Linked DNA regions of Lepisosteus oculatus. The protein of the gene in region 4 purifies or fractionates together with the protein of the main gene of each other region. This does not show direct contact. Links are inferred from orthologs where the notes say so. Each region holds a gene or a part of one and is shown on either strand. Other genes may lie near its edges.

Region 1 (7,752 bases), on a different chromosome or scaffold from region 4:
AGACATTTTTAAGCACACTGGGCTTCTTTTCCCTTTATGTTCTTACAAGGCAGGGCCCTTAGGACCAAGAACAGAAAGCAATACTTTGCAAAAAGAGGGGCGGGTGTCAGGAACAGTGTGCCCAGATGGGTTGTTGATGCTGATTTACTGGCATCTTTCAAGGAAAAGCTGGACAAGATGCATGAATCAGGTAGCTACTAGCAGACAGCTGAGCTTGGCCTCTTCTTGTCTACAAACCTTTGTAGGCTCTTGGGTGAGAACCTCACCTAATATTGTACAATTATACAAAAGCTTGCCGGAACAAGATTTTCTTTCACATTTTCTGTTTAACGGGTATGACCTTTACCCCAAATACTACTTTTAACATTCAAAATGTCTGGTTTTACTTATTCAGCTTGATTACACAACACATAGCCCGGTTCTACAAAACTGTACCAAGATTCGCATGCAAGTAATATATAATAGTGTTTTCTAACTGAAAATCATGTGTTGACTGCTAAATTATTGTTTAGAGGACAAATTCTGAATGTTTGCTCCACTACTGGAAACCTACTTTTAAAAGTTAACCATTTTAATTTTGCATTCATGTGAACAGAAACCTCATAATGTTATAAAGCTATTCTAAACCTACACTGATATCCACTTCAATTGCTCTGGGAAAATAAAGTAACCTATTCTTTAAAGCATATTTTCTGTGCTTGCGTTTAACAATAAAAAATGCTAACACATAATGTGGTTTTGGCCTACAGTCGCCGGATTTATGATTAAAGATGAAAATACCAGGGGGTTCAACCATCATTAAGGGCTCTTCGTGCAAAAGGAGACTCAAAGACATCCTGACCCACCAGACACCACCCCCTCTAAACCCGTGGAGAGCTGAGACAGCGCCTGCCATGCCAAACAAACAGTCTAGACACAGAAGATGCTTAATTCTGCTCGATTGTGAACCACTGGGCAGAAATCCAGCTCTGGCACTGCGGAATCTCACACAAAAGAGTTCCTGGCTATAGCTGTGCGAGATAGCGCTGCGTGGTACCCATGACAAAATTTAACCCATGGGACAGACAGGCAACAAAGTCCAGAGACTCGCGGATTGGAGACGGCCAAAGACGAGCGTCATCCCCGAGAGCGCTCTTTGTGCGCCTCTGACCTTCGAGACGGACCGGATTTGGTCCACTTGGATGTGAAAAGCATCTTCGGCTTTAATGTGTAATTGTTGCATCGATGAGATAAGCAAGCCTCCTATTGTTACTCTCATGGTCGTTGTCACGCGAAAATGCAGGGTGAGAAGCACAGCAGTTTGCAGAGAAAATTTGGAGCACTGTAAATGCCTAGTTAGCGTAAAGAGAAACGTCCCCTTCTCTAAAAATATAGAGTTTATCCGATCAAACTGGATCTTAATTTCCCCTGCTAAACCCGTTTCTGCGTGTCCGTGCATGTACTGTTTTCCCCATTTTAATTACTTGGTCACTAGCTTGCCTCTAATTAGGTCCCAATTTCCATAGACTTGGAACCTTTAATCTAACCAGCAGTTAGACGGGATTAACCTTGGTGCTGTGTTGATGCGAGAGTCCCTTTTCCCTTAACATATATTTACAAATTATATAGGATTCTCATCTTTACCGTTATACTTCCTACGTCCCGATACGCAATTTGAAATAACCCCACATAAATTCAAAGAGGCGGTCATCGTATTGTAAGAGTTAGAAATTTTTACAGAAATATCATTCCAAAAATGTGGGAAAAAGTTGACTTTAGAACGAGCAATCTTCTGCAATGTCGAGGGAAATATATCCAAATCGTGAGTTTATCCTTAAAATACATTAAACCGTAAAAAACAGTTCCCGGGATTCCGTTTTTATTTCCATTACAACAGATTTTTAGCCCTCCAAGGATGTTTTTTATATATTTTCTTAAATCGACCTACGATGCCCTAGTAGAAAAACGACGACTGTTTTGTTACGTAAATCCTTCTTAAAACAATATTGCATGAAAGTGTACCTTATCTTCGGATTTCAAAACACAGACCGATATTTCACAACTGTAAAAGTAATGTGTTGTTCGTTCGCTTCAATGTGCTTTTTTATTTTTAAAAAGTCTAACATATTTGCGTGATCAGCCATGCACTACTTCCTACTCCCAGCCCCCACTGCACGCTACATCTGTTTGCTCTAAAGAGCGACTCTAAGCGCTAAATTTAAACCCCGAGACCGAATAAAAACTATTCTGACTCTAGAGCGCCGTCGTCATAGTATAGTTACAAACTGGAGATTATTGTTATGATTTGTGCGCGCCAGTGTCCCGGAACACTCCGCGCCACACAAAGATCCCTTCACCCGGCATTACAGCAGGCAGAAGACAGCAAAGGCTTCATGTGACTGCAACGAAATGGCTTCTGGGTTCAACCCACATTAATTCTTAATGGAAAAATCCATTTAAAAATTGCTCAAACCTTCGCTTTTGCGATCGGTCCGGCGGCTGGCACGAAGCGCAGGAGCGCTTGAGCACACCTGTGCCAACAGCACGATCCGAGCGATTTCAGTTCAAGATGACCCTTCTCGTTCATTTCATTCTTTCTTCTCCCTCTCTTCTCTCCTCCTCCTCCCCCCCCCAACAAGCTGGGCTTTCTGCTCTTAGATAATGAACCGTGGCTTTTTTTTTCTCCTCTTACCATTTTCGTACTTTCTCAATAGCGGCCATAACACGCTTGATGTCATCTTTCGCTCTGCTCCTGGTCTCTGCGCGGACCGACCTGCCCGACATTGCTGCTGTTGGTATAATATTTTTTAAAGCTCGCCGGCAGTTCAGACACAATGCATACACTCAATGTAGAGCTTTGTGAGGAGGGAGCGCGCCTGCGCCAAGAGAGCACAGAGCCTACAGCTGCATGGCAAAGCCAGGCTGGAGCTTTGTCACACAACTCCGAGCTACAACAATGTAGACAGAAGCAACAAAGGCTTCAAAGTTACATTGTTCACAAAGAAAGTTTCGCGAAAACTTCTCGAGTTGACACACACGATGCTGAAAGTTGCAGACGTACTTCCTGTTTCAACGCAACATTCCAGATGGGAAAGAAAAACAGTCTAAAAAAAAAAAGACTCGAACGGGTTTTGTTTCGGTTAAATTGTTTTACGGGTTTTCTTTTTTTTCCCGCACAATGCACTCGTCCAAGACGTTTCAGTGTCTTTTAAGACGTATATTATATATTTTAGAAATTATTTGTTTCTATGTTTGGATGAGAGGCATGGAACAGCTTTCATTGTGTTTCATCATATTGTTTTTTCATTATGTGATATTTAAACGCATTTTCATAGCAAACCAAAGTATTCTTAATACAAAGAAATTGCCCAGAAGAATAAAATCCAATACATAGTCAGATATATATTTTTTAAAAGTTATTTTGCGGACATTTATCGTTTCAAAATTAGTGCAGTCATTTCAACCTTTAAACTATACATATTATATAAATCAATATAAATAATAATAACACATCAATAAATATCTAGGTAAAATATTTTATTTAAAACAAAAGTTAAGATTTAGAATCTGCGGTAAGCCACTCCAGCTTCTTCTTTTGTAACTGTAAAAATGTTCAAATACTAAAGAGAGCAAAAAAAAATCCTAATTTTACTGACAAAGTGTTGAAGGTGAAAGCAACTTCATAACACACAGGTTGGCAGCTCCATCGACGAGTGGTGGGAAGCATCACAGCCTAGGACAACACAGACTCTCGGTCTGTCTGACCCTCTTCAGAAGATGCAGTTTCCTGGACAAAAACTGGAAAACCCAGTATGTCAGATGTCAAGGTGTCTATCGTGATTTCTTCAGGAATCACACTTTCCAGCAGAGACTCCGAACCTGTCAATTCAACCCAATAAAATAAAAAAAGTTAAAAGTGGTTTCTTCACATGAACTCAACAATATGCCCATCACTGTTCAATGTTACAGGAATACATATAATCAATAGAGTAAATCCTTAATAATTCCCTACACTTATATAGGGCTTTTCTGGACACTCCACTCAAAGTGCTTTACAGGTAATGGGGATCCCCTCCACCATCACCAGTGTGCAGCCCCACCTGGATGATGCAACAGCAGCCAAAGAATACCAATATACTCACCACACATCAGCTATCATGGAGGAGCAGAACAGAGTGATTAAGCCATTTCATAGATTATTAGGAGGCCATGACTGGTAAAGGCCAGGGGAGGAAATCTGGCCTGAAGAATGTCATATGATTTTCACCATTATTATTTCATCCATTATTACCATTAACTACTTAAGAGAGTCTGGTAAGCCATACTCAGTAACATTTTGTGATCTACATCTTTTGCACTGCATTATAGTCTTGTCACTCTGGGACAAGTCACTGCAGAAGACCAAGTAATTTAGTACTGTACATACCTGTAGAATCAAAGCTTCCCAGTTCCAACCTCCCCCCTTCAGGATTTAGCCCCATCAAGGTGGAGAAGTACTCGGCTAGCTCCTCTTCAGTCATGTGCTCACCTAGGAAAAAAAAAAACATTCCATAACGTGTTTCACATCCCCATGTAAACGTCTCATTCTGATTATTTCAAGGACCTTCAGCCATCCGAATGACGTCCTAATCCTTATTATGACATCATAAATCAAGCATAATACAGGAGACTGAGAGAAATAAGAGTTAAAAACAAATGCATGTTTTAATATTTTAAGTTTTATATACTATAAATGTCACAGCTCAAGGGTTGTGAAAGTGCAGCTGAGCTGATTAAGGACTGATGATACCAAGTGGCTGGGTATGAAAAAAGTATGAAAGATCCAAAATTAAAAATGACAAAAAGCCACAAAATGCCTGCCTTTTTTAATTTAAAGGATTTTTAATTCATTAATATCATGTGTGTATATTACAAGAAATAGGGAAAAGTGCTGCTCTTCATGTGAGCTCCTGTATAAAGTGCAGGCCCGCCTGCAGCTCCCCAGATTTTGTTTCTGTTGTTTGCTCTAATGATGAAAATACAGCACAGAACATGTGGGAACAGTCTGCTAATGTCTGAGAATTAAGGTCCAATCTGTTGTATTCTAACAAATCCTGATGTCACTCTGTCAATATTGGAATAATATGTCCCCTCAGACACTGAAGGTAACAAATGGACAAGCTGTCTATAATCATACCCAGAGCATGTGTGACATTTTTCCAATTGATCTGTCAGATGAAAGCAGCAACTTTAAAAGATGCTTTGTTACTTTGGACTGGAAGCAGTCTAACATACCTCTGGCCTGCAGCAGCTGCAGTAGCTCTCCCCTGTTCAGTGTTCTCTCCCCATTCTCATTTTCATAACCCAGAACTTGAAAAGCGTGCCTCAGTTCATTCATAGATATCCCAAATGCTGGGCGATGGTTTACATACAGTTTTATAAAATCTGCCAAATCAATGTCGGTCACATACTTTCCTGTATCTACATACTGGCTGAATTTGACCTCATTCAGCATATCTTCAAGCTGTGAAAATAAGGGAAGAGAGGTATATTTCGAACAGACAGCAGACAGTGTTTCTTTACACAAAAGTGTACAGGAGTCTAGAAGAAACGTCTATGCCAAGCTGATATCCTGGCTCCTTTCAAGAAAAGGCTGGGCATGAATCTGGGATTGATACGTTATTAGCAATCAAACAAGTTAGATGGACCAAAAGCCTTTCTCCTGTTTGCAACCTTTATTATGACAATAGTGATCAGTTTATAGTAATCAAGACTAATTTATTATTAATAATATTAAATATAATAAGGGATACTAAGCACATATGGCCTATAGATAGAATAGGTTAAGAGCATAAAGAGTGTTTTGTTCAGCTCAGACGTGGTGCAAAATGAGAGATTTAGTGCAACACAAAATGGCATCAAGTCAGGCAAGTATAAAACTAATAAGCATTTCTTTAGACAGGTGAAACTATAAATGACTGAATCATTCAAATTAAAGCTACATTACATTTCTTCAGTGAATGTAAAAAGCTCAGAAAGCAGACAGAGAAACAGAATGAAAAACAGGAAGAAAGAAACCTTTAATACAGATCTGACTGCCAGCATCTCTGCAAATCTCCAGACTGAAACCCTTCTCTGAGAATTGTTTCCGATGTTCAAGATACTCAGAGCACAGAACCATCTGTAGCTCATGATTTGCAAAGATGATCTTTGTTATTATTTCAGCCTTCAGTGAGTGGACTTATCTGAACCTGCCTCCTGCTCAGAGGGGTAGAATCCCAATGCCCGCATGACAAAAGGGATCTCTGCCAGGGGGATTCTTGTAGACACCTGTCGGGTCTCCATGGTGTCAATTCCTTGATTGCGCAGCTGGCAATAGTAAAAATAGTCTTCCAGTTCCTAGATGGACAAAACAAAAAACAGTACTGTAGCTCCCATGTTGTGTCTAACAATGAACTTAAATGAAGCGCGTCTATAAAATTAAAACAACAGCTTCATCTTTCTGTCTAGGTAAAATAAAAGCCAACTCATGCACTTCATAGCACAAGAATTAGATGAGTGATTTGATCGCATAAGAAAATGAGAACAGATATTTGCTAGAAGGTGTCTAACTGAGCCTGTTGTGTGTAAAAAGATGACACTTTTCAAAGCATTACTGTGAATTTTATTATACTGCCTATACTGCATTCAGCACCACTGTAGTACACATTGAAGTTCTATGTGCCTGCACAGGAAGTTCTTCATGCATTGATAATACAGCAAAACAGACAAGGTACAACTAATGATTTGCTTGTGTATTATCGACTCCTTTCATACATTCAGACATGGATGATAACGTCTGCTGTATTTCAGAAGAAGCCATTTTGGTTTTAGCACCTTCAGTGTTAATTTGTTACAGTTTAACTACTATTTTTGTTAGATTCCATATGGCATGCAGTTCATTTGTTAAATATATTAGAAAGTGGGGTTTAATAAATCTCCTCACCCTAAAAAGCTCCCCATCTCTCCCACCTTCAAGAACACTGTAAAAGGGAATGAGGTCCTGTCCTCCAAGAGACGCTGCTGCCTCGAGAGCACTACCACAATGCGAGAGAAGGAAAATCACTCACAAAGCCTAAACACGAGATCGATAGACAGCATGGCCTCTACAGGGAATTGAGGAACACTAGCAGGCATTCAGAGTCAGCTTGTGTTAGAATGCTTTGAGAGCAGCAACAGGCAGAAGTCAGGGTCATTTTGCAATGCAGTTAGAAGTAAAAACGTAGACAACATTTTGCATTCAATTGCAATTACAGTACTTCTCTTTGAAAATGGAGAAAGGTACTTGCTCCCAGTCCATTTGCTCTGGAATTGCTTGCCTTGAAGGTAAATGTTAGTAATGCTGAGCACAAATCTGTGGAATGCAGCAGAATGGCTATGGGAGGCATGTATACAGTACGTGCTTAGAAATTAAAATTAAACAATAGGCTTCTTTATTATTTGACTACAATAGACTGATGAACTCACTTCAGGTTGATTTCCCAGGTGAACACTGTGCGATCACTGCCCCCTGCAGTGAAAATTCGCTGGCCATCACAGGAGCATGCAAAGCTAGAGACACCCAGTGGGTGACAGATGAGGGCAGAAGATTTATGGGGATTTCCATCTAATGGCAAGATCTGCAGGCCAACCTGTGAACATCACAGCAAGACCCTTTAACAAACAATAAGTTATTTATAATACAGTCACGCACAGTGCTGCATGGTTTTGCATACTGAGTCTGTGGCTACTTCTTAATAACACTAAAAGCTGTCA
Region 2 (7,517 bases), on a different chromosome or scaffold from region 4:
AAACAAATGGACAGAAACAACAAAACTTCTTTGCCCTTGGAAATCATATCCGAGTTTCTCTGGGTTAATTTCTAAACAAATTTTCACTGCAGGGTGATCAACACTTGCATAACTACATTTAATTTTCTATTGTAAATTATATAAAAGAAATAATGTTACATTTTGTGAAAACCCAGATTACATTATTAATAAGCATCTTGTTATGAAAAGCTTTTCGTGGATTCTGAATGGATCAAATATTGCTTTTAACTCTGACAACAAATCTTTTTTGGGACTGTAAGTGTAGACTACTAATGATTTAATTCCCCTCTGATTGAAGAATCAAAAATGGGTGTGTTATCCTTGATCGTCTATATTGTACTCATTATTTTTCTGCTCTATGCCTTTAAGCTGGCTAGGCTTAAAACTGTAAGGACATTGCTTTAAATTTTCTAACAAAGCTGTCCTTGAAACTTTAGTCCTAGACATGCTGAGAATAGCAAATGTGCGTTAAGCCAAGGAACCAAAAACAAAAAGGTTGTCAAGGCTAAAAAAAACATGAATCAAAGAACTTAAGATACTGATGCATCACCAAAATAATTTTACATTCTAAATATGACTGCAGTAAATTCAAAAAGCCATAAGTTTAAGTGAGTGGATTACCAGGTACTGATAATACCAACTACACTGCAGTATAATTGAATGCTGCTGTAAAAATTGTTTTGCATTAGTGTTGGGCATTTGTGGGCTTGACTGTTAAAACAGCTCTTAAATAAGAAAAATAAGCTTGATACGTCTGCTGGTTGGCAGTTAGGCTTGATACAAATGCTTCAGTGAAGAGTGACATTAGATTTCTGAATTGCGGAAATAATGTTTCTGAGGAAATGTGAAAGGTGAATTATGTTACAAATAAAATCTTGCAAGCTCACAATTCCACACCACCCATCTTTACTGACCTTGTGCTGTACCCAAGCGGCACTGTGGTGTTAGGAAAGCAACCTCAGTGGGAAATCAATTTTAAATACAGACTAAAAATGTTCATTCTGAAGTGTTTGTTTTTCCATTTAAAATCAAATCTGAAAGGAAAGAACACCTTTTTAGAAAATATTTGTCCCCCTCTACTGGCCATTCATATTAAATGACAAAACAATCTCAACTACTTCCAGAGGGATAATTTCATTTTTAATTCAGGGTCTGATGGTAAGAAACCATTGATCGCCTGCTAACATTGCATTTTTAACCATTACTGATTCCCCTTACAAGAAATATACAGTACGAGCCAATGCTGATGATTTTATTTAGTTAATATACTGGCCATTATATGAAGATTTAGAAATGGTGACTATTCAATAATAATTTGATGACTATTTTATTTGTAGGCTGGTGAGTGTGAAGATTTAAAGATACTCATAAAACTTGTTCTACAGCCACCCTCGTGAACTGATGTTATGAGATAATATCACAGATGCTTATATGGAGGATTAAAGGGAACATAAATGCAAGGAGCTATTTTATTGGTGTGACATTGGATTACATTCGACTTACAGCTGGCAATCAGAGAAAGCTGCCACATCAGTGAAGCTAGTTGAGATTGTGAAAGACTTGGGAAAAGGCTATCGATCTGATTTTCAGCTTTTGCCAGAAGAATACTTGTCATGCTGATGCCTCCTAAGAAGGCAGCCAGCTGGGATTCACTGTTTGTAAACGCATTTTTCCTTTTTACCCCCACTTTTATTTACATTTATTTTTGCTATTTTTTGAGGAAGCAGTTATGGTTTATTGACCAGCTCTAGGTCCTATAGGTGATTGGTTACCTTATGCGTCTGGACAGTTGGCTTTTTGCTCAAGACCATTCTATGACAATTCACTGTTCAATAAACCCACTCTGATCCATTTAATTAATTGATGTCATGTTTTAAATATTTCAGTAGCTCAAAGAGAAAATTTGCATTGCAAATGGCATTCTGTTTAGATTGGGAAAAAAAAGAATATTTACTCATATTATGCAAAATAACATACCATCCAACAAAAAGGTAACATTTCAATTTGTACAACAAAAGATTCCTTTCTAAAAACATATTTAATGTTGTTCTTATACAATACAAAGAACTGATCTTTAAAAACAAATAGGTTTTGGGACAATTTTCATATGACAATTCCTGCAGGAATATTTTTGTAACAGCTTTTGCATGTTTTGTTTTGGGGTCATTAAATCACTGAGGAAAAACAGGTCTTGGAAGTGTCTAGATAAGACTATTCTTTGGGATATTATTAGTTAAAATTCATCTTGCTGTATAATCTATTCAGTTTATAAGTAAATATTTACACTCGAGTGGACAACCCAACTCTTACAATAAATTATCATTCTACATGGTTAAACACTTGGAGACCAGCAGAATAATATTTTGTTAGAAAACATTGGCTAATTGGATTTATTATAATTTTTCTTGGGGCAGATATATACAGTATGTTAATTAACAAAGATGATTTAAGCCTGCAAAGGTAACTAATATTGCCTGCTTCATTTTTATGTAATCAATGCTTCCAATTCTTTTTTTTACAAAAAGGGCACAGGCAAATAATGAATGCTATGGTACATTGTTTTACAAACAGGTTTTAATACTTATGTAAATTAAACTTTCACAATATTTTTAATCCATTGAGAAACACGCCAGAGAGTGAAACTGTAGGTGTGCCTGTTATATAAGACTTTATTACAGCTTTCTTTACTTTTACATTTCTTAGAATCCTTCCTCATGTGTTCTACATCACAATATTGCACAGCCTTACAATAGAAATATTGAAGCTTCCAAAGAGATGATACAAATGTGTTAAAGGTAAATAGAACAGGCATAAACACATTGCTCAAACAGGGCCTAATTTATACAGTGATGAAGAAGATCCATATTTTTAACACAGAGAAAACTCGACACATTTTAATGGTTGTTAACTGTAATAGGACATGGTTCTTTGAAATGTTTTTGAATAATACAGCTTTCTTTAACTCTTTTCTTATTGAAGTTGTATCTATCATCACAGAGACTTATGCAAAACTTTTGGATTTCCTTTGCTGCTGACAAATATGTCAGCCATCCTTTTTTTAATATGCATGTGACATTGACAAAATATAACTTATATGTAAAAGACTGGCTGTTGCTTATCTGTTCCCAATATACACAACAACTTATAGAATGTACAGTGGTTGTATTTATCAATTCCTGGCAAGCCAGGAATCGGATCCTGCTTGTTTTAAATAACCTTAGCAGCAGAGGTCAATAAATCTCTTTTTCTGCTTCCCCAAGCAATAGCTTAGTGGGAAGATTTTGCTGAAACTAAACATGCGGAGTGTGAATAGTACTGAATATCAAATGGGCACGGAATGGTCAATACATTGGAAGACAACACAGGATGTTTATGGTGCAGATTGCAAGTCATAAGTTTGAATTAACTGTAATGAACTGTAAAATTAAAAACAAATTGTATAAATCCTATAATATGTCATTGTCATATTAGGCAGATATAGCATGTTTATAGAAACAGAAAGTCACTTCTTCCTGGATAGTATCACAGCAACCCAACGGCTATCTTGGGAAAGCAAGGTGCAGGGAGAATAATCCCCAGAAGAGACTGCACTTTGACACAGGGACTTGTCCTGTGGATGGGTGCTGCTTCAATGTGCGAACTGTCCTAGAGTCAGAGGCTGGGTAAGTCCCTTCTTCCAGAGTGACGGCAGTTTGCAGTTACCTCACTCCATTCATCACGGTTAACCTAATGTTTCATATCAAAACCCAGAATGAATGAATCATTGTACATTGATGTACTGTAAAAGGGTGGCATGATAGTCAACGCTACCACCTCATTTGATTTCGGAGTGCAATACCTTCTGCGTGGTGATTACATGGCTCACACCTTGGTCAAGACAATATGACATCCTAGCTTTTGGAAAAAGTGCCGTGACATCTTTTAATGTGTGTCGTTTTCACAGTGGGCCCTGGTTTTACCTGGCTTTCTATTTCTAATACGGAAGCAGACAAGAAATCTCCCAAGCACAACGAAATCTTGTCTGTAAGGAGCATTCAGCCTGAGTAGTGGACTGTAGGTACTGTATCCTGCATTGGGCCATGAATCCATCGACTGTCTCTATCATTAGGTGAGAAAGCCTTGATAGAACAAAAAAGCTGTTTTATTCTATTAATTTTGACTTGGTCTTTTATTTGCTCTTACAGTTACGGTTTCAGGTCTTCGCAATGAATTATGAAGACAACAGCTGAGCAAGCAAACCAGAAGATCAAAATGGACTAAACGGATGCTCTATTGCAAATTTTAAAAGATGGCTTACATATCTTGTTTTTGTAGCTACTTGTACTACTGATCGTTATAAAAAACGATTTCCACAACATTCCACTAATCGCAAACCGGGCAAACTACCCCGGCGGTATACACGCAGCTCTAACCGGAACTAAACAGCAGAGGGCGCCATATAGAATTCTTTCTGCACTGCAAACCACGGAGTAGGAGGAGGCTGCGTGTTATTACAGACACACGCAGCCAAACCCTGTCTGATCGCTATCTTTAGACATTGGTCAGGCTCTTAAATTCTTTTTGTGTGCCAACCATTTAAAATAAATAGGGGGCTTGAACAAAGCCTTAGATTCATGGGAAATGATGACACCGACAATACAACCAACGTTGAGTTGCTCAAGAGGGGAGTGAGTGAGTTTATGAAAAATACCCAGGAACTAGTGTAGGGTTAAAAAAAAGATAGACGTTTAACTGCATCCAATTTGTTTTTGTTCGTATTTATGTTGTTAAGAAAAGTTTGCCGCTTTCAAGGGTTGTAGTAATCGCCGATCTTTGTTTTTTCTTTTAAAAAAAACTAAAGCTAAATTTGCTTTAACATGACTTCAAGAGGTGTGTACCCAATGAATACAGGTAGCCCACTGAACCCTAATATTAACCCTATGAATTCGGGGGGTGTCAGAATGGTTCCTTCAATGCAACAGAACAGCGGATTCCGGGCCATGGGCTCAGCTGCTTCCCCGTACCATCAGGTAACTGCGGTTTGTTCTTCTCTGCGCCTAGTGCGTAGACCAGTTTATCGGGTAAAAAAAGTTTATACTGTAATTTAAATTATTCGATTGATTTCCGGTCTCTGTCATTAGGTTAATCGGTATGATCTATGGTAGCGGGAGCTTACAGTACGTTGCTTTAACGCGGTGTGTCCTGTGTATGTTACTTTTTTTGTTGTTTGTTTTGTTGGTTTGTGTTATTAATAATCAGTCAATTTAAACAAGTCGGGTGTTCCCGTGAAAACTAGAAAAACAACAACAACAATGAGCTGGTGTAAGTGAATTAATACAATGTACTTTGCAGAATTGAGCTGAAACGCGGTTAAAGCACAACTTTATCCGTGTTTCTACATTAGACCTCACTGGACAAAAAAAAAAAAGACAGAAACGTTTGTATGATCAGCATGGCACTAGAGAACTGGAGTGCATGGAAACGACACGACTACATCAATAACGTTTTTTAAAGGAGGCATCAAGTGAGAATTGTTCCGTTTTGTCATTTTTTGCAAAGGCCCGAAAAACACAAAACCAGAGTGCTAGGTTGATAAAGTCCTCACTTCCGCATTTATGAAGGATCGCTGCCTGAATGTGTGTGAGAGAAGACAAATATGCCGTTATGTTGCGTGTGCGTGTGTGTGTGTGACCGAATAAAACACCGAGAGCACCGAAACACCAGAGCATAGCAGTAAAAGAGTACGTTAAGTTGTCCCGGAAAGGGATATTCGTTAGGACATGTTAACTTTAACGCTTAAAGAGGAACCGAAACCAGTCCCACATGACATAGCCTGTCCTCATGTGGTTTGTATTTTCTGTTGCGAGGGAGAGCGAGCGCTGTCTTCGTGACTTGACACTTCTTAACTCCCCTCTCTCGTTTCTTTCTGGTTACATTCGCGTTTGCACTGATACCTCTTCGGTTGCTACATGGAAGGTATCCGCTGAAGACAGGACAGTTCAGAAATGGGAAAGCCGAGGGGGAAGGGGGAGGAAAGTCGGTGCAGGATAGTAATCTGTCAAAACTAGCTGGGTTTCTACGGTATGTCAGTGCCTGCTGTGAGTCCGCGTTCTGCTCTCAGTACTTCTAAAACTTACAGTTCAGTAATTGCATCTGCCTCCGTGCTTTCATTTGGGGGAGGGCGAATCCTGAGTGAAACTGCTGTTTTGGGAAGGAGAACTTCAAGTCGTACAGTGTTCGCACGGAGCAGAACACAAACGTTTCCATTTCTGCCCAGCTACTCAGCATCCGATAAACGTGCTGGGCTCTAATAAGAAATGTCAGACGCAGATGCGTCTTTTTGCAGGAAATCCTGTCTCGATCGCTAATATCATATCTCGGCATCTCTTGCACGATCGAATCGCTAGAAGACGAGAAAAAAAAACAATCTTGAATGAAGCTGAAGACATTGCAAAGCGTTGTACTGTATTTTCGCATTTATATGTGATACAAAATATCTTTCCGTGGCGATATATAGCACAGTTATTGTAATCCCTCCCAGAAGAGCATTAGGAAAGTATTTTTACCAAATTAAAAACAGGAAACTGCCATTTTAATTATTTAAAATAGTTCATGCATTGAAGTGCGCTGACACGTGGACAAATGTGTCAGAGCACTTGAGGTTTCTTAAAGCAAGAAAAGCGCTCAAAGAAGAAATTAATGAAAAATGAATCTGTCCCATATCTACCTGTTCAGAACTTTCTCAACGAACATTTTCAAATTACCCCGTTCATTACCTATTAACTCATGTACAAATCTTTTATTGTACTCTTAGCAGTGTGGCAATTAAAGGTAATTAAAACAGGCCAAATATAAAGTTGGTATTCTGTAAGAAGTTAATATTTAAATCCCACACACCTTGCAAAGCAGAGCTAGACTAGTTTGCTAAATCAGATTTCAGAAGTGTAATACTGCTCTTATCATTGATCATGGAAAAAGTGTAAGAAGTATTTGATCAAGTATGATTAATTTAATAGAGTCAAACAAGGCAGCTAAGGGGAGTTTAACTGCAGGTGAAAGGATATTATTCATTTATGCGGAATTTGTTTTGTGTGCAATAACACATATTTTTTTGGTAAATACCAAATATTTTATTTTTGTAATTTAGTACTTGATACTGTTGAAAACAAGCATGAATGTACTGTAACTTCAAAATTGATCCACACAAACTGAGATCTGATCATTTTAATACAATTTGAGAAATTATTTTACAGAATTGTTCCAAATGTTTAATAGTGAGTAGGACCAACTAAAATGTATTTATGCGATAATTTCTATAAGTTCTAAACCCAAATAAGATCCCCTGATATTTTGAAGAACAATATGTTTCTCCCTTTTCAGTATACATGTGGGTTTACACACATAGTATCATTCTTTTAATAAACAGTTAAACTCCGGTAAGATGCAAACCAGTGGTTAATATATGCAGGAAATTTGCATAAAGAGCCATTATCAGATTTCTTACAGTGGCAATACTG
Region 3 (7,856 bases), on a different chromosome or scaffold from region 4:
CACAGGAGAGAACAGAACATCCTTTCAGTGGCGCCATTTACGCGCTTACAAAAGGCAGAAGATGCTATAAGACCTGAAACGCAACAACATGATTGCTAACAGTATTTGACCGTGAACCAAAGAAACAACGCAGTGAGCCGAAGGGATTTAACTGAATTCGCTTCTGTGGTGAATAATTCCCACGTCGACAAAAAGTTCTGCTTAAACTGCACTAGTCCCATCAAAGAAGCACATCTTTGTTCTTCCAAGCACTCCAGCTCTCTCCCAGGTATATCAGAATGACCAGACCACCTTGAGGTGCGGGCATGTGCCAAAATGTCGGATCTGAAGATAATGGCAGGTGGAACCAAGAGAAAAATGGAGTGTATCCTGCAGCCCCACAGGTTTTTGCGTAGACCCAACACTTCACTGGCAGCAATCTCTCGTTCCCCTTTTGTGCACCATAAAGATCTAAGTTAGGAATTGCTTTGCTAAGGGCAGTTTCTGCTTCCAGAGAGGACTGCTGTCATCTAGGTCTCTTTACCAAAAAGCCCAGAACACAGCCTTACAGCCCTGGGTTTATTGACCAGCGTGAGAGGTCCAGCCCTGCTCTTCCCCCACCACGATTCTGGGACAGAAGCTCATAAGCGATGAGCTTGCACGGTGGCAAACTCTACGACACCAGAAAACCGGATGTTCTCCGGGCAGCGAATTCTGCAGCGTCTGAGATCCCAGGTGAGCAAAGTCACCTTCTGCCACAAGCTCAGAGAGCTCAGTGCCGCAGAGTCCAACCAATTACAGTTGGCAGAATTCACTAGGAGCAACAACACCCAAGAATTAAGTATATTGAAAGGTTTATTGAGTGTTTTAGTCACAGTAAATCTGGCTTGGCCCGGCTTGTCTGAGGGCTACCCTCCTGACCACAGGACAAGGAGGCCGAGACCCCTCCGTGGAGTGAGGAGTGACCTAAGGGCAGATGCAGAGGGATGCAGGAGACATGTGAGGGAGAGAAGGGGATCACGTATAGCATTTATAATGTTTTAGGTGAGGAAATTACATAAAGAGTGATTACAGGCAGCTTAAATTGATTCAGTTCCGGTACCGTCCCATCTCCTAAACTTTTGTTATGAACTCCAGTGATTTTCTGTGTTGCTCCTCCTGCCATTACTGAGCCCCCCCCTAACAAACCCATCAATGACATCAGCACAGAGAGAATTCTAACTGGTACCAAACACGAACACATTACTCCACACCTGGCCCACCCACACTGGCAACACGTGACATTCAATCTTCACCTAGTCATCCAGAATGAAGATCCCAGTCACCCTTCTGATGAGCTAACCTAAGATCCAAAGGACACCCTTTAATTCTGTTCTTCTGTCACTCAACAGGTCTAACGTAGATGGTCAGTATTGACAAACCCTCTTTTAGAAGAAGACTGCCTCCTCTAAGGGAGGTGTGGGGTTTGCCAACGTGGCCTTTTTGCAATGCACATGCAAAGACAAAAAACAAAACTTCAGGAAAACCAAAGGCAGTGTGCACAGCACAGGGTATTGGCACGATATTTCAAGCAGCAGACTGCTGGTCAGACCCTACATGTATTTAAGATTTTTATCTTCACACGTCTGTGAAGGCAAACTCATTCAGAATAATTGTCCCAGCTTGAACAAACCCAAATATGGCTTTGCCTTTTGGAAAGAAAACTGCAGCTCGTAAATTCTGACATGGGTCTCATACCATCTGATGCTGCTGTGCCACGGAAATCATCATAAAGGGATTCAAATATTATATTGCTACCGAGGTTAAAAGTACACGCTGTTCGTATTTTAACATCATAATTTAGCAAACGTGGGATTCCTTCAAATATTCACACCTAACTTTAAAAACTTCAGCCCTTCATGAATAGCGAGAACTACATTAATTCAACACACATCAGCCCTACTTCGATACCTTATTTCAACTGTAGGGGAGGCTGAGGCGCTAAATTTAATTTGCAGCAAATCAGTCGTCGTGGCTATTGCTTATTCTGATCGCCAGTTGCAAACTTAGAAAGTTCAGTATCTTCGTTTTCTCCAGCAAGAAGACCCCGAAAAGCCTTTTCAGTTCTGCTTCCCCACCATCTGTGAGAAATACGACCACCTCCACGATAATTAGTCACACATTTCCCCCCACCCACCCCGTCTTAATTATGCCGGGCCTAAGCCTTGCTCTGACCGGGGAATACTGTGAACCGCATCCCTCATCAACAAGGGAAACAAGAGGGAAAGGGTGAGAGAGAATGAACTACAGCTGCAAAAATATATACACCCGCAACTTCGGCCACACAGCTGTACAGCTCATAATTGTGCTTTATCAGAAAGAAGCCTGGAAAGATAGAAACGGAGTGCGTTCAGCATCTTCAGCGTCACTTTCCTGGATATTGCAATGCAGAGGACATCCCTACAGTACAGCTGGACAATGCATGTGTATCACCTGGGCACGCTGTACCGGGAAATCAGCAAACCTTATCCCCACCCTCACCTCCTACGGCACATAAGGTGGTAAATGAGCCGTTTCTCTCAACGGCGGTTTAGCAACACAGCACACAAGCACAGAACTAAGAAAAACAGATATTCATCCGAAGTTTTCTCCTTGCCGACTTCTATTCTACCGCCTCTCTCTAACCGGTATACCCGGGTAGTTCAGTTTGAGCACCTGATAAAATATAAAGACGTTCGCTGGTCCTAATCCACACACAACCCCCTCCCTCGCTTCTCCGTCTTTCCCGGCTCCCTTTGTTCCCCTGACGTTACCGCCTCCCCCTCCTTACCGGGTATCCGGGCCCTGGCATTGGGGAGCGGTAAAGGTGGTTCTGTGCTGCCGAGGAAGGACCCATCCGGCCCGAGGGAGTCCCCGGTCCCATTCCCGGCCCAGCACCCGGTCCCGGCTGCCCTGGACCCAGCCCTCCACCGCCGCCTCCTGCTGCCGCCGCTTGGAAGCCACCGCGAGCCGCCATCTTCTCCCCGCTGAGCCCGTGGTGAAGAGGATATCGCGAGAGGGGCTGTACGAGATTTTGCTCACTGGTTGTCATAGAAACTGAAGAAGCAGCAATTATTCACACGGCTCTGAGCACACGCTGAACTTGATCGAAGCCATATTGCTGAAGGACGTGAAAGCAACGTTTATTTCCTAATTTGTCTTTAATATGAATAATTATGGTTTCAATGAAATGACTAATATGGAACGTGCGCAATGTTTATGTATCGTACGAGAATCAAAATCAGAACTCGTGTAAATTCAGTGTAGTTTTTAATTGTTTTATTATTTTGCTTTTGCAAGCAACTTTCTGGCTCGTAGATTCCCGTGCCGAATATAGTTTTCCATATAGACAAACATCAAAATATACATCTTGCGATTTTCACATTGGAATATTACTGTAAACCATCACAATTGCGTCTTCAATCTAATCAATGCGCTTAACTTCCCAAACTTCTCAAACATTTCTGCGTCGCCGGTTCAGTTTTACTGGCTATAAAAAGTGCTCGAGATAGTAACCAGCAGATGTCGCTGCTCTTCATTTTCCTCAGTGGAAGAATAGGTCTGTAATCCTTATATTCTTATGTAAAGCAGTAAATGAAGATAGATGGACTGATACAAATATTTATGATCTGACACGATTATTTAAACACCAGCCTCCCATGGTGAATATCTTGATATAACTATTATTTGCTAGCATTTTGGTCTTGTGTGCATCAATCAAGTGACATTCACTGGATTAACTTCAGTCTGAATGAGGTCACTTGGCACAAACTAATCTTCTGCACTGTAACCAGATTCTCATTGGTAAATACAGCTATGAAACAGAATGAATTATGAAACTGACAAGACTATACACACACCTTAGGAAGAACACCTTTTGTGTTATGCATGTTTTGTTTTAGAAAAAGCATGTCTTAAGGGAATTATGTGTTCCTTGTAAGCAGCATATAAACGCCCACTTCACAAGTCAACATATAGCTATACCACACTGATGGTATAAACAGCTATCCATGGCTGCTTACTATAATAAAACCTAAACTATATTACTTTAATAATATTTACACTCTATATAATGTACAGTACATTATAGGTTACTTTAATAATATATTAAATCACATTTAATATTCACATTACCATTAGGGACTGATTGGTTAAAAAGTAGATTGTGGACTTGATATTCCTATCTGTACAAAGCGAAACGTATTTGAAGAGTTGGATCAGCAACCATGGTATTTCTGTGCACGGATGAACAGCTTTACTGTTTGATTTCACAGTCCTACGTAACAGAACGGCTTTACAGAGCCAAGCAGACGACGAGTGCTGAGCTTCTCTTCCTCCGACAGCCCATTTGCAGGGGCTGCGAAGTTTCACTTGGTTGCTTGCCTCCCATTAGCCTCATGCAGAGCAGAATTGGGCATCCTTCTAACACGTTGAGAGCCGTCTTCACCGGCAGATGTCGGGGAAAAAAAGAACATTCTCTCATCCTAGGAGGATAATTATCCTGAAACAATGCATCACAGCTGACATGTCCTCCACGCCTCCCTTTTCCTCTTCATCCTGAAGAAGTGCTTTCTGTCAGTCCTAACAAGGGTGACCTCATACCTCATCGCGTTTGTCAGAGCCAATTTAAGTGCAGACGGGAGAGGGGCAATGTCGGAGCCGTCAGGAGAGGAGATGCTCTCTGCTAACCACTATCTGTTCAGCAACCCGGCCCACCTCTCCTGCCTCGCCGGTCAAAGGTCCCACTGCTAGGAGAACTCAATCGTGACAGGTGGGGGAACGGAGAAGCGAAGTTCGCAGATCGATCTGCGGGAGAGTACCGGTCTGCTCTGTGAGCTTGCCAGCTGGGCCAGGGAGCAGATGAGTAGCCCCGCTCACGGAAAAGATGACATTGTTCCTCCCTGTCCGATTTGCATCACACACAGCCGAACGGCATTTGCGCGTTCCTCCAGATGGGAAATGCATTCTGGAATCGGGGGTTTAGGATACACCCACAACCAGGATGTCCCCTCTATGTGACGGTCTCAAATGGGCATACTGCAATGTTTTTAAATTGCATAAGAAAATCTAAAACTACGTTTGTATGATTTTTTTTAAGGCACAGTGTTAATTACCCAGCTGCGAGGACGTGGCATCTGCCTTTTTCACTCAGAATGTCAGAATGTCGATCTCCTTTGCATTCAGCCTGTCAGTCTGTCTGTCTCAGCCAATGTCAATCAGAACCCCCCCCCACTCACAAACAAACTTCCCCTTTCGGCTTATTGATTCCTTGATCTCTGGCGTGCTTCCTTGGCTGCTCTGTGCTCCTGTCTAGCTTTCTGAAAAGTTCATCTCCGATTTAATACACTAATCACATCGAGCTAATTGAATAATACTTGTAGCTGGGCCACAGGCTAATGGAATTGTGTTTGCTCGCGTTTGTGGTGCACAAGCTAAAGTCCTGTATTATATTACTGAAGTTTTTTTTTTCCAGAAAAGGTCCCTGTTTTTGTTAAAATGATAGGTGTCTTTAGAAGTCTGCAGTAAGTCGGAGCCCTTCAGAGATAGAGAGATGAAATGTTGTCCCATCCTTCATTACAATCTCCTATAACAGCACATGTTGCAGATGATATGGATGACTAAATCCTTTTTTTAAACATGAGGGCCAATTGGGTTTATGTTGTTGGAACACAGCAGCTTTTGAAAAAGTCCCTGCAGCTCTGCTGACACAATCCTATCATTCCTGTGAGAAAACAATTCTGAAGGATACACAAACAGGCCCTGTGGATTTCAGAGCCTGAGACCTGCCATGTCAGATGTCAAGGTTTGCTGTGAAAAGACAGACACATGGTCCCCAGTGAATCCACAGTGAAGGATATTTGCAGCAGTTGCTGGCCCAGTTGCACAAAACAAAGCAAGAACATTTTATATATTTCACTTAAGGGGTCCTTGACTCTGTGTTGCACAGGGTAGCAGAAGGACACTGAATCCAATATCCCAGTTAAGAGGAAATACATAATATTCAAGGGGTTTAATACTTTGATTGGGTGGCACAGTGGCACTGTGGTTAATGTTGCTGCTTCTCTGGGGCTCTGAGCTGAATTCTGGACCTGGGGTGCTATCTGTGAGGAGTCTGCATGCGTTTGGGCTTTGTGAGTGTGTCCCCTCCAGGGTGTGTTCTGCTTGTGCTTCTTGTATGCTAGGATAGGCTCCATCCCCCAACCCTGTACCTTGATGGGAAGAAGTGGTTAGAAAATGGGTGGATGGAATATTAAGTCTTCTATGTAGGAAAGCGAACGCTGCCGATTCTTTTTATAAGAAAATGCAGTGACTCTCCTATGCCTGGGATAGGGTGCTATAGAACATCACATAGGGCCTCTACAAATGTCAGGAGCAAATAAAGACTTACACAGAACAGGATTTCTGTGATGGATGACAGGGCTCATTTTACTGTTGTACTTCCTAGGAAACAGCTTGAAAACGGTGCAATTAATCACTTTCTCTACAACCAAGATTTTCCTGCTCCGAGATTCATCACGGAGGAGGAGGAGGCTCTGTCTGAAGTCCCTCCCCACCCCAACACCCCCGCTCCTTATCTCCCCTGCCTTTGCGGGCTGATATCTGCTCACATGCTGTCACCAGGAAGGAAGGCAGGCGAGGAGACACAAATTAATTTGAAGCTGGAAACTCTTGTCCTTCCCATTAGCCAAGCTTCTTAAGATGGGAGCATTTCGTGGTTCAATCTTGGAAGAGGGCCCTTCCACAGTTACCCCCCCCCATGACTAAAATCTACGTCCTCTAAAGAACACCATTTGTCTCCTCCTTACTCTCTCTTTTCCTCTCTCACGCAGCTGGGGCAAGATCTGAAGAGTGGTTCGGCTTGCAGAATACAGGCTAGATCACATTAAATCACCACACATGTCTGGCTGTGTGCCCCTACACCCCCGCCCCCATAGAAACAGGGATGTCAGATGGAAAAGTGAAACCATTGTCCCAGCGGGACTGTCTTGAAGGTAACTGAAAGCAGTAAGAAAATATTAAAGAAAACGCTTTCTCAGTTCACTCCTGTTCCGTCTGACATTTCACCGGGAGGCGCTAACAGTGTTAAAACTGACGGGTGACACTCGATGGCGGCTCTCGAAGTGCCTCGCTCATAACTCACGCAGCGTTGTCAGCAGCACTCCCAGACGCAGTCTTTTCTGCTGTTTTTGTGCCGATAAGGCCGGGTGCCTCTGACAATTTACAGTAAAACAATGCTGCTCTTTGGAAAACACTCCATGGGCGAACTGCACAGTGCCGTATGGATCTGAAGGCTCTTGTGTGGGTGGGGTTGATCTGACAGAAGCACTCTGGTGGTTTCTCGTGTTGGTACCAGTGCCCTGCTTCAGCAAACAGCTGTAACACGATTTGTCCCTCTATAGTGAAGCCTGGAGATGGGCACTGAAAGGTAATAATAATAATAATAATAATTGCTTACACTTATATAGCGGTTTTCTGGACACTCCACTCAAAGCGCTTTACAGGTAATGAGGACTCCCCTCCACCACCACCAGTGTGCAGCCCCACCTGGATGATGCGACGGCAGCCATAGTGCGCCAGAACGCTCACCACACACCAGCTATCAGTGGGGAGGAGAGCAGAGTAATGTAGCCAATTCATAGATGGGGATTATTAGGAGGCCATGATTGGTAAGGGCCAATGGGAAATTTGGCCAGGACGCCGGGGTTACACCCCTACTCTTTTCGAGAAACGCCCTGGGATAGGTCATCCCTCCCTTTTTCCCGCAGCTGGCACAGCCTGATGGCCATTTCCCTTGGGGCGCCCTGCCAACCTGGCAGTCCTCATGTTCCGCTCGCCACTCTACCCCCAGGGCGCCCACA
Region 4 (7,673 bases):
TGATGGACTGGCGTCCCTTCCAGGGCGTACCCTGCCTTGCGTCTACTGCTTGCTGGGATAGACTCCTGCTCCCCCACAGCCCTGAATGAGAAGATGGCGGGACAGTAAGATTGGTTTCCATTTTCGAGGACGTCGGTCAGCATCAAACGTTTGAAAAGTGAGAGAGAGAGAGAGAGAGAGAGAGAGAGAGAGAGAGAGAGAGAGAACTGGGACGCTTCAGAATCGAGCAGATCCAGTCGGCCCTTCTGGTCCGGTTCGTAGTTAAGAGTTAGTTGATGCCAAGACCTCACCCAGCTGTTTCTTGAAAGAGACCAGGGGTGTGACTTCAGCCATAAAATACTTAAATTATTTCTCCCGGCATGCCAAATTCTGGCAGCCCGGGACGCTTCTGTCAAGTATTAAAGGCCTTCGAACTATATTATCATTCCTCGATGCTGGAAGAAAATAAACCTGTTTTTGGTCAAAGGTCCACTTTTGTGTTCCCGTCACACGGGGATAAGATTTTAATCGCGGGAGAGGACGTGCGCGCGTCCGAGATCTGTTAGGTAGACAGCTGCTTTCAAACACAACCGTTTCAGGCAAATCGCCACAGCTTAAGACAACTGAATGCGTGCAGTATTAAACCAAAGACTGTAGATGACACAGAAATTCGCATTTCTATTTCTAAGCCAGAATCCTGACCAGGTCTCGTGCACTCCTGTCCTGTACACACACACACACACCCACCCACACACACGATGACTAACGGAAGGAGATGACACAAGTCTTCCTTCTCGAAAGCCCTTGTGGCCTTCAGACGCCCGGCCCTGCTCGGGGCTCAGGGTGTCCCATTTTGAAATCCGCGTTTCACAAGAGTATCACCCACACCCTCCACCAGCTCTTCTCTGAAGTCCGCAGCGGGACAGCCGAAGGGAACCACCCCCTCCCCAATTCCAATTCCGAGAAAGGTGACGTTTCCAGTTGCAACACCTCAACGTGCGGCGTGGGGCTCCCATGGAGAAGAAAACAACCGAGGGTTAGCAGAGCCGAACGCTCTTGCGGTTTCGAAACTCAAAGCATCTTCCATCGCTGGGAAAGGCGCTATATAAAAACAGATTGAAATGAAAACCAAATTCAGCGGACGACTTCAGATCCATACGCATTCGAGATACGAAGTGCTGGCAGAAGGCTTCTGTTTAAGTGACAACATCAGTTCGACTGATAAATATTCATTTGCCCACGGTGTATTTGGCACACAGCAAAACACAGGAGTTGATAGTCCACAGCTTTGACTAAACAGAGAGAGGTGGTGCCATTGGCAGAGTGGGGGCTCTGTGGCTGGGAGGTTGCAGGTTCAAATCCCACAGCCGGCAGAGGGATCCTACTCCGTTGGGGCCCCTGAGCAAGGCCCTTCACCCCCAGCTGCTCCAGGGGGGCTGACCCTGCGCTCTGACCCCCCAGCTTCTCTCTCCCTGTCTGTGTGTCTCCTGGAGAGCAAGCTGGGGTCTGAGAAAAGACACATTCCTAATGCAAGACATTGTATAGGGCTGAAAAAGTGATCTGATCGAGATCGTGCGAGTGACGTCATGCGATAACTCGGGCGACCTTCACGAAACTCCGTTAATGATATCCCATCGTTAATTACACCGGCAGGCAGGGGGGCACAACAGCGCAGGGCGAAGGTATCATCGATCTGCAAACCCATTTAAGCGAAATAAACCCGATGACACCCGGAAGAGCAATATTAAAACAAAGAGGCGTTATTATACGAGGCAGCACGACTCAATAACAACATCGCGCTGCAATGCGCTTCAAGATCAACATTGAAAAGCTGCCTGCTGGAGATCGGGAGCTTATCCTGCAGTAGAAAGAGCTACAGGCGTCTTCTCTTCCAGGATGAGAGCTTTTTACTACGTGAATCGGGAGGGATGGAGTTTTTCTAAAAAAAAAATAACAAAGGACCAGATGACAGATGTTGCGATTTTGAATCTGCACGAATTGTAAACTCCCCCCACCACCACCCAGACCGCAATTTCGCTGCCCGGGTGTCCACAAAACGTCTTCAAAACACGTGTTTTACCTACCCGCAGTGTGCGGCGGGAGAGAGACTTGGTTGTAGCCGAGTTTTGAACCGGCTCTTTGAACTTTGTCAACATTTACTTGCGCTGCCCAACGTCAGGCCCTGCCGGGGCGATCCGCTCTCTGAAGAGCGGATCGAGAGCAGGGATCTGGCCGACCGGCTGGGAGATCGTACAGAGGAACAAAGCTACACGCCGGGCGAGGGAGGGGGGTGCAAAGCCAACCGTGGGAGCCCTTCTCTTACACACACAGCGTGTTGATGAATCACGATCGCGGAGCATCGAGTTACAAACACACACATACAACAAGAGGACGGCGCAGCCAACACCGGCTGGGACAAAACCGCAGGCACCGGCGCCTCTCGGTCCCATCGATCGGCTGGATCGGGACGAGAGAGCTCATACAGCACCAGAGACCCGGCACCAACGGGGATCCAGGCTCGGACCGGCAATTCGGCGACCAAAACTACCAGAAACCACCTCCCAGGGCTCTGTGTAGCTGCCCTGAAAACCCCCCTTGATAAGAGGTGAAAACTCCCCCCCCCCCCCCAGTGTTGCGCTGCCGCCGGGAGAAAAGTTTTGAGCGGCGGCCGAACAATGAATCAGTTGTCCGCTCTCACGCCCGGCGCCCTCGGCTGCCGCGACCGGAGAGACGTCGTGGCTTCTCGCCCGCCCGGCTTGCACACAACGTCGCTTCTCCCTCCCTTGAACCCCTCTCTCCCAGCTCCCTGCCCCCTCTCTCCTCCGAACCCCGAGCCCTTCGCCACCCGCCCGCTCAGCTCCGGCGAACGCGCTGGAAGGCGAGAGAAGGGGAGGGAGAGAGAAAAAAAAACAACAACAACAACACTCACAGTTTGACTACATTCTCCACGACGGCCGCCATCTTGGTTCGCCTCCCGTCTCGGACGACGGCAGCGCGCGCCTGCGCAGAAGACGACGCGCCGAGGTCACGTCGAGCTCGCGCGTGTGGCCGGGGGGGGGCCGAACGCGGCCGCGCCGGAAGCAGCCGGCGCGCGCGCGCCTCTCACAGAGTTCCGCCTAAAGCGGCTTCTTGCGTTTCGTCTTTTTAAATTTTTTTTATTAAACGTATAAAGATTTTACTAATACAACTACACTTCTTCTGTTTCGTCGTTTTTTCTGCCTTTTTCGTCTTCGTGACGTTAGCGAACTAGCATACTTACTAACCTTCACTTTTTAAGAAGTGTGCTGAGAATAATAATAATAATAATTGCTTACACTTCTATAGCGCTTTTCTGGACACTCCACTCAAAGCGCTTTACAGGTCATGGGGATCCCCTCCACCACCACCAGTGTGTACCCCCACCTGGGTGAGGCGCCAGTCCGCTCCCCACACCCCAGCTCTCAGTGGGGAGGAGAGCAGAGTGATGGAGCCAGTTCAGAGAGGGGGTTATTAGGAGGCCATGATGGGTCAAGGCCAGGGGGGAAATTTGGCCAGGACATCGGGGTAACACCCCTACTCTTCTCGAGAAACACCCTGGGGTTTTTAATGACCACAGAGAGTCAGGACCTCGGTTTGACGTCTCACCCGAAGGACGGCGCCTGTTTACAGTCTAGTGTCCCCCGTCACTATACTGGGGCATCAGGACCCACACAGACCGCAGGGTGAGCGCCCCCTGCTGGCCCCACTAACACCTCTTCCAGCAGCAACCTTAGTTTTTCCCAGGAGTCTCCCCTCCAGGTACTGGCCAGGCTCCCACCTGCTGAGTCTCCAGTGGGGCTGCCAGTTGTGAGTTGCAGGGTGATATGGCTGCTGACAAGATAAGATAAAGATCACTTTACTGGCCATATAAAATTTCTTGCATTATGCATATAAGTGTATATAATAACGTGCCAGTATAATAAGTCAATCACAATCGATTTTGTTGGTATTATTTGCAATGGAATTGAAATTTAACATTACATCTATGTCTGTCCAAATGCTAGCAATATTGGCCTCTTTTTTTTTCAAAATACGTTTGCAGATCAATCTAGAATGTTTTTACCAGAGGACATAACCAAAAATAAATGTTGGGCTACTTTCACAAAAGAACATTTTTTAAAACCTTTTTTTTTAATTATTGAACATATAAAGAATTTTACAAATACAACTACAACCAGAGGATCAGAAACAGGTACAAGAGACAGAAATCACAAACAAAAGAAAAAAAAATACAAAAGAACACAGTTATCATCTATATTAATTTTGGAATGGCCAGCAGCCATATCGCCCTGCAGCTCCCCACTGGCAGCCCCACTGGAGACTCAGCAGGTGGGAGCCTGGCCAGGACCTGGAGGGGAGACTCCTGGGAAAAGCTGAGGCTGCTGCTGGAAGAGGTGTTAGTGGGGCCAGCAGGGGGCGCTCACTAATGCCCCAGTATAGTGCGCTGCCCTTTGGATGAGACGTCAAACAGAGGTCCTGACTCTCTGTGGTCATTAAAAACCCCAGGGTGTTTCTCGAGAAGAGTAGGGGTGTTACCCCGGAGTCCTGGCCAAATTCCCCCCCTGGCCTTTACCCATCATGGCCTCCTAATAACCCCCCTCTCTGAACTGGCTCCATCACTCTGCTCTCCTCCCCACTGAGAGCTGGGGTGTGGGGAGAGGACTGGCGCCTCATCCAGGTGGGGGTACACACTGCTGGGGGTGGAGGGGCTCCCCATGACCTGGAAAGTGCTTTAAGTAGAGTGTCCAGAAAAGCGCTATATAAGTGTAAGCAATTATTAATATTAACTTGAAATCGCTGCACGACAAGGGTCTTGACTAGGCTCTCCGCTCAGCCGCTAGAGGGAGCCACAGTCCAAGCTATATTTGCACACCATTTCTGTCGGTCCTGTACGTTGCGTTAAATATTACTCAGACGTGCGTGGGGGTGAGAAAGGCGTGTTAAACTATCACCACAGCCCTGCAGAATTCAATCACACAGCGAAAGGAGAGACACTCCTTTGCGTGGAAGATGGGGGGGGTGAGATTCTTTTCAAACCTGAGGTTTGACTTCGTACGCTGTGTGATTTTGCCCCAGTACCGGGTTCTTTAAACGTGCCGTATCAGGGGGGTCAAAATGAAGACTTGTCCGGGGGTTGTGTGTGCAGGTAAACGGATCTGCGTGTCCGTATCCGGTTCCCAGATGGACCACAGGACGTGAGCACCTTGCGCGACTCGTTCTGAGATGCCGTTTCCAAAAGCTACGATAAGACCCCGTCGAGTCAGAGTGAAAAAAAAAATATTTTATTTAGGTTTGAAAGAGGAGCCGTAGAGTTAGGGGGGGTTATTGAGGAAAAAGTGGTCGCGTTTCATACAAAATAATTCACCCAGTTAAGATTCTTGTTACCCATTGATTTCAAATTAATCTAGATGACAAATGTGGTTTTTTTTTTGTGTGTGTGTGACAACAGCCCTGAAACTATTCAGCTCTTGTTTGTCCCAGGGTACACATTTTCTGGACTAAGTTGCAGAATTATATTTAAAAAAAAGAGACCAATCTCGATGTTTGTTGTGATGAAAAAGATGTTCACGTTCGGCCCCATCGAAAACAATCTTAAAATTGCGTTTGTGATCCATTTAATTATTAGAACGGCACGTTATTACATCCATACAATGAAGTGGTCTGGGAAGAACCCTGTGGTTGAGCGTTTTACAATGGAAGTGAGAGGGTATTTGCAGACTATTTTGAAGTGCAAAAATCTGAAAGCGGTGCGGACGTTATTTTCAATTTGTTTTTCAAATAACTTGAATTTATGGAGTAATATGTACCCTCCCCCCTGACGATCTTTGTGTCTTGAATCGTTCTATGTACTCTTGTTTGAACTGTGCTTGTTAAGCAATCAAGTGTGCCTATTAAGTGCGTGGGGTGGGGCGAGAGGGTTCCTGGATTCGTGGATACAAGATAAATGAGACAGGCGAAGGTGCTGGCTAGGACACTGAGCCAATTTGGGCGTTAATAGCCGTGAAAGACGTTCCCTGTGTCCGTACAAGCAGGATTGAGGGTCTGAAATTGAAGCCTAGCTAGGGGAAACGTTATACGCGCTCGGGCATTAAACTTTTAACAACAGGAAAGGAAGGTATAGGATTTCAGGCCAGCAGCGCAGAGGTTATCGGGGGGTTTGGCGTCGGAGAAGACGCAATGCAATTTCAGCGCCCGGTTGGACTAATGTAGCGCCGTCCCGAGCCCCCGGTCTTTCGGAATGGCGGCCGGCTGGGAGTCGGTCCGGAGGTCGTGCCGGGAGCGGGCGTTCGGGCTGCTGGCGCTGGGCTACGTGCTGTACGTCCTGCTGGGCGGGGCCGTGTTCGCGGCTCTGGAGCAGGCCGGCGAGGTGGCCCTGCGCCGGGAACTGCGGGAGGTGCGGGCCGCCTTCCTAGACGATCACCGCTGCCTGCGGGAGGCCCCGCTGGATGCCCTGCTGGAGGAGGTCGTCTCGGCCGGCCAGCACGGCGTGTCGGCGCTGGACGACAGAAGCGAGGAGTGCAACTCCGACTTCACCTCGTCCCTCTTCTTCGTGACCGCGTTTCTCACGACGACGGGTAGGTGGGAAGGTGGTGGTGGTGGTGGGAGGGTTACAGTTTTGACTTCGGCCTTGTGGCGTCTGTTATGTCGCGCCCAGCGTCCGTTTGGGCTTTTACGACGCTGTCGCGCTGTGGGTTTTGGGGGAGGTTACCGCTTTACGGCACCTGGGTGCCTTGGCGGGGTTCAATGTCGCACCGCTCAAGATCTTCAAGTTCGGAGCTGATAAAAAAAAAAACCGCCCTACATGTGCAGAAGGTTCCGATTGGACCGGCTCCGTGAGGGATTGGGGGGTGGGAATGAGAGGGCTCAGCTGGGAAGGAAAACCAGGAGATGTGGGGGGGTCCCCTGTGGGAACCCCCCCAAATTATCCTGTAAAGGACAGGAGGGATGGACCGTACAGCAGCTTAGATGTTCTGTCTGGTCTCAAACAGGTGGAGGTTTAAATAAGAACGAGGCGCTCTGGTACTCTAGTAAAACTGGTGTTTTAGAACTTGGGGATCCCCATTTGTAAAGATCTTGAGCCATTTGCAGTTACCATGATTAATCGGACAGGTGGCTCATTATGTGATGCCGATGGGGGGGTGGAATCTGAACATTTCTTCTTGCTTAATTGCCAACTCGATTGGCCAGCGCGCCTGATCTTTCACGAAAACGGGCGATTTGGGGGTTTCGGAGGAGATCCTGCAATCAGGAGAGGGGAGACCCTGCTTTACACAAAGGGTGGCGGGGGTGTGGAACAAGCCGCTTAGCCATGCGGTGGAAGCCGGTACCCTGGCTCCTCCCAAGCCGCAGCTGGAGGGGATGGCTCCAGTCAAGATGGCGGCGGGGGGGGGGGGGGGGGGAGAATACCACTGTACACAAAGGGTGGTGGGAGGATGGAACGAGCTCCACAGCCTTCTTGCGAGTTACAGCTGGGTGAGATGCAGCAATTAGGATGGGGGGAGCACTACGCTAAGGGTGGTAGGAGTGTGGACCAAACTCCCCTGGCTTCTTTCGAGGAAAGGGGGAAAGAACACCTTGCAGAATTCAGCTCTGGGTCTGCACCTGCGCCCTCGTTTGCTGTAATACAAAGAGGATGTTTGCTTAAAATATTATTTTTTTTTGCACAGCTCTATTGT

The links.
Region 1: the proteins of dpf2 (region 4) and bcl7a purify together in Homo sapiens (affinity purification with mass spectrometry; 3 studies listed by BioGRID and IntAct, counting the BioPlex papers as one, with this or other methods). This does not show direct contact. The link is inferred for Lepisosteus oculatus from reciprocal best matches to the Homo sapiens genes DPF2 and BCL7A.
Region 2: the proteins of dpf2 (region 4) and smarcd2 purify together in Homo sapiens (affinity purification with mass spectrometry; 6 studies listed by BioGRID and IntAct, counting the BioPlex papers as one, with this or other methods). This does not show direct contact. The link is inferred for Lepisosteus oculatus from reciprocal best matches to the Homo sapiens genes DPF2 and SMARCD2.
Region 3: the proteins of dpf2 (region 4) and smarcd1 purify together in Homo sapiens (affinity purification with mass spectrometry; 9 studies listed by BioGRID and IntAct, counting the BioPlex papers as one, with this or other methods). This does not show direct contact. The link is inferred for Lepisosteus oculatus from reciprocal best matches to the Homo sapiens genes DPF2 and SMARCD1.

What each region holds. Positions count from the first base shown.
Region 1 is NC_090717.1:7,063,272-7,071,023, reverse strand, and holds the start of bcl7a (B-cell CLL/lymphoma 7 protein family member A), read right to left. Parts: upstream 3,002-7,752; 5' UTR 2,764-3,001; coding exon 2,672-2,763; intron 1-2,671. Other genes in the region: cfap251 (cilia- and flagella-associated protein 251), read right to left, coding at 3,713-3,858, 4,406-4,507, 5,254-5,482, 6,214-6,357, 6,944-7,034, 7,465-7,628.
Region 2 is NC_090723.1:2,688,320-2,695,836, reverse strand, and holds the start of smarcd2 (SWI/SNF-related matrix-associated actin-dependent regulator of chromatin subfamily D member 2), read left to right. Parts: upstream 1-4,512; 5' UTR 4,513-4,877; coding exon 4,878-5,030; intron 5,031-5,112; exon of another isoform or gene 5,113-5,780; coding exon of another isoform or gene 5,781-5,846; intron 5,847-5,880; exon of another isoform or gene 5,881-6,081; intron 6,082-7,517. UniProt on the Homo sapiens protein: Involved in transcriptional activation and repression of select genes by chromatin remodeling (alteration of DNA-nucleosome topology).
Region 3 is NC_090696.1:17,243,883-17,251,738, reverse strand, and holds the start of smarcd1 (SWI/SNF-related matrix-associated actin-dependent regulator of chromatin subfamily D member 1), read right to left. Parts: upstream 3,009-7,856; 5' UTR 2,975-3,008; coding exon 2,789-2,974; intron 1-2,788. UniProt on the Homo sapiens protein: Involved in transcriptional activation and repression of select genes by chromatin remodeling (alteration of DNA-nucleosome topology).
Region 4 is NC_090713.1:19,938,933-19,946,605, forward strand, and holds the start of dpf2 (zinc finger protein ubi-d4), read right to left. Parts: upstream 3,002-7,673; 5' UTR 2,941-3,001; coding exon 2,909-2,940; intron 2,584-2,908; exon of another isoform or gene 2,064-2,583; intron 1-2,063. Other genes in the region: kcnk7 (potassium channel, subfamily K, member 7), read left to right, coding at 6,236-6,572. UniProt on the Homo sapiens protein: Plays an active role in transcriptional regulation by binding modified histones H3 and H4. Is a negative regulator of myeloid differentiation of hematopoietic progenitor cells. Might also have a role in the development and maturation of lymphoid cells.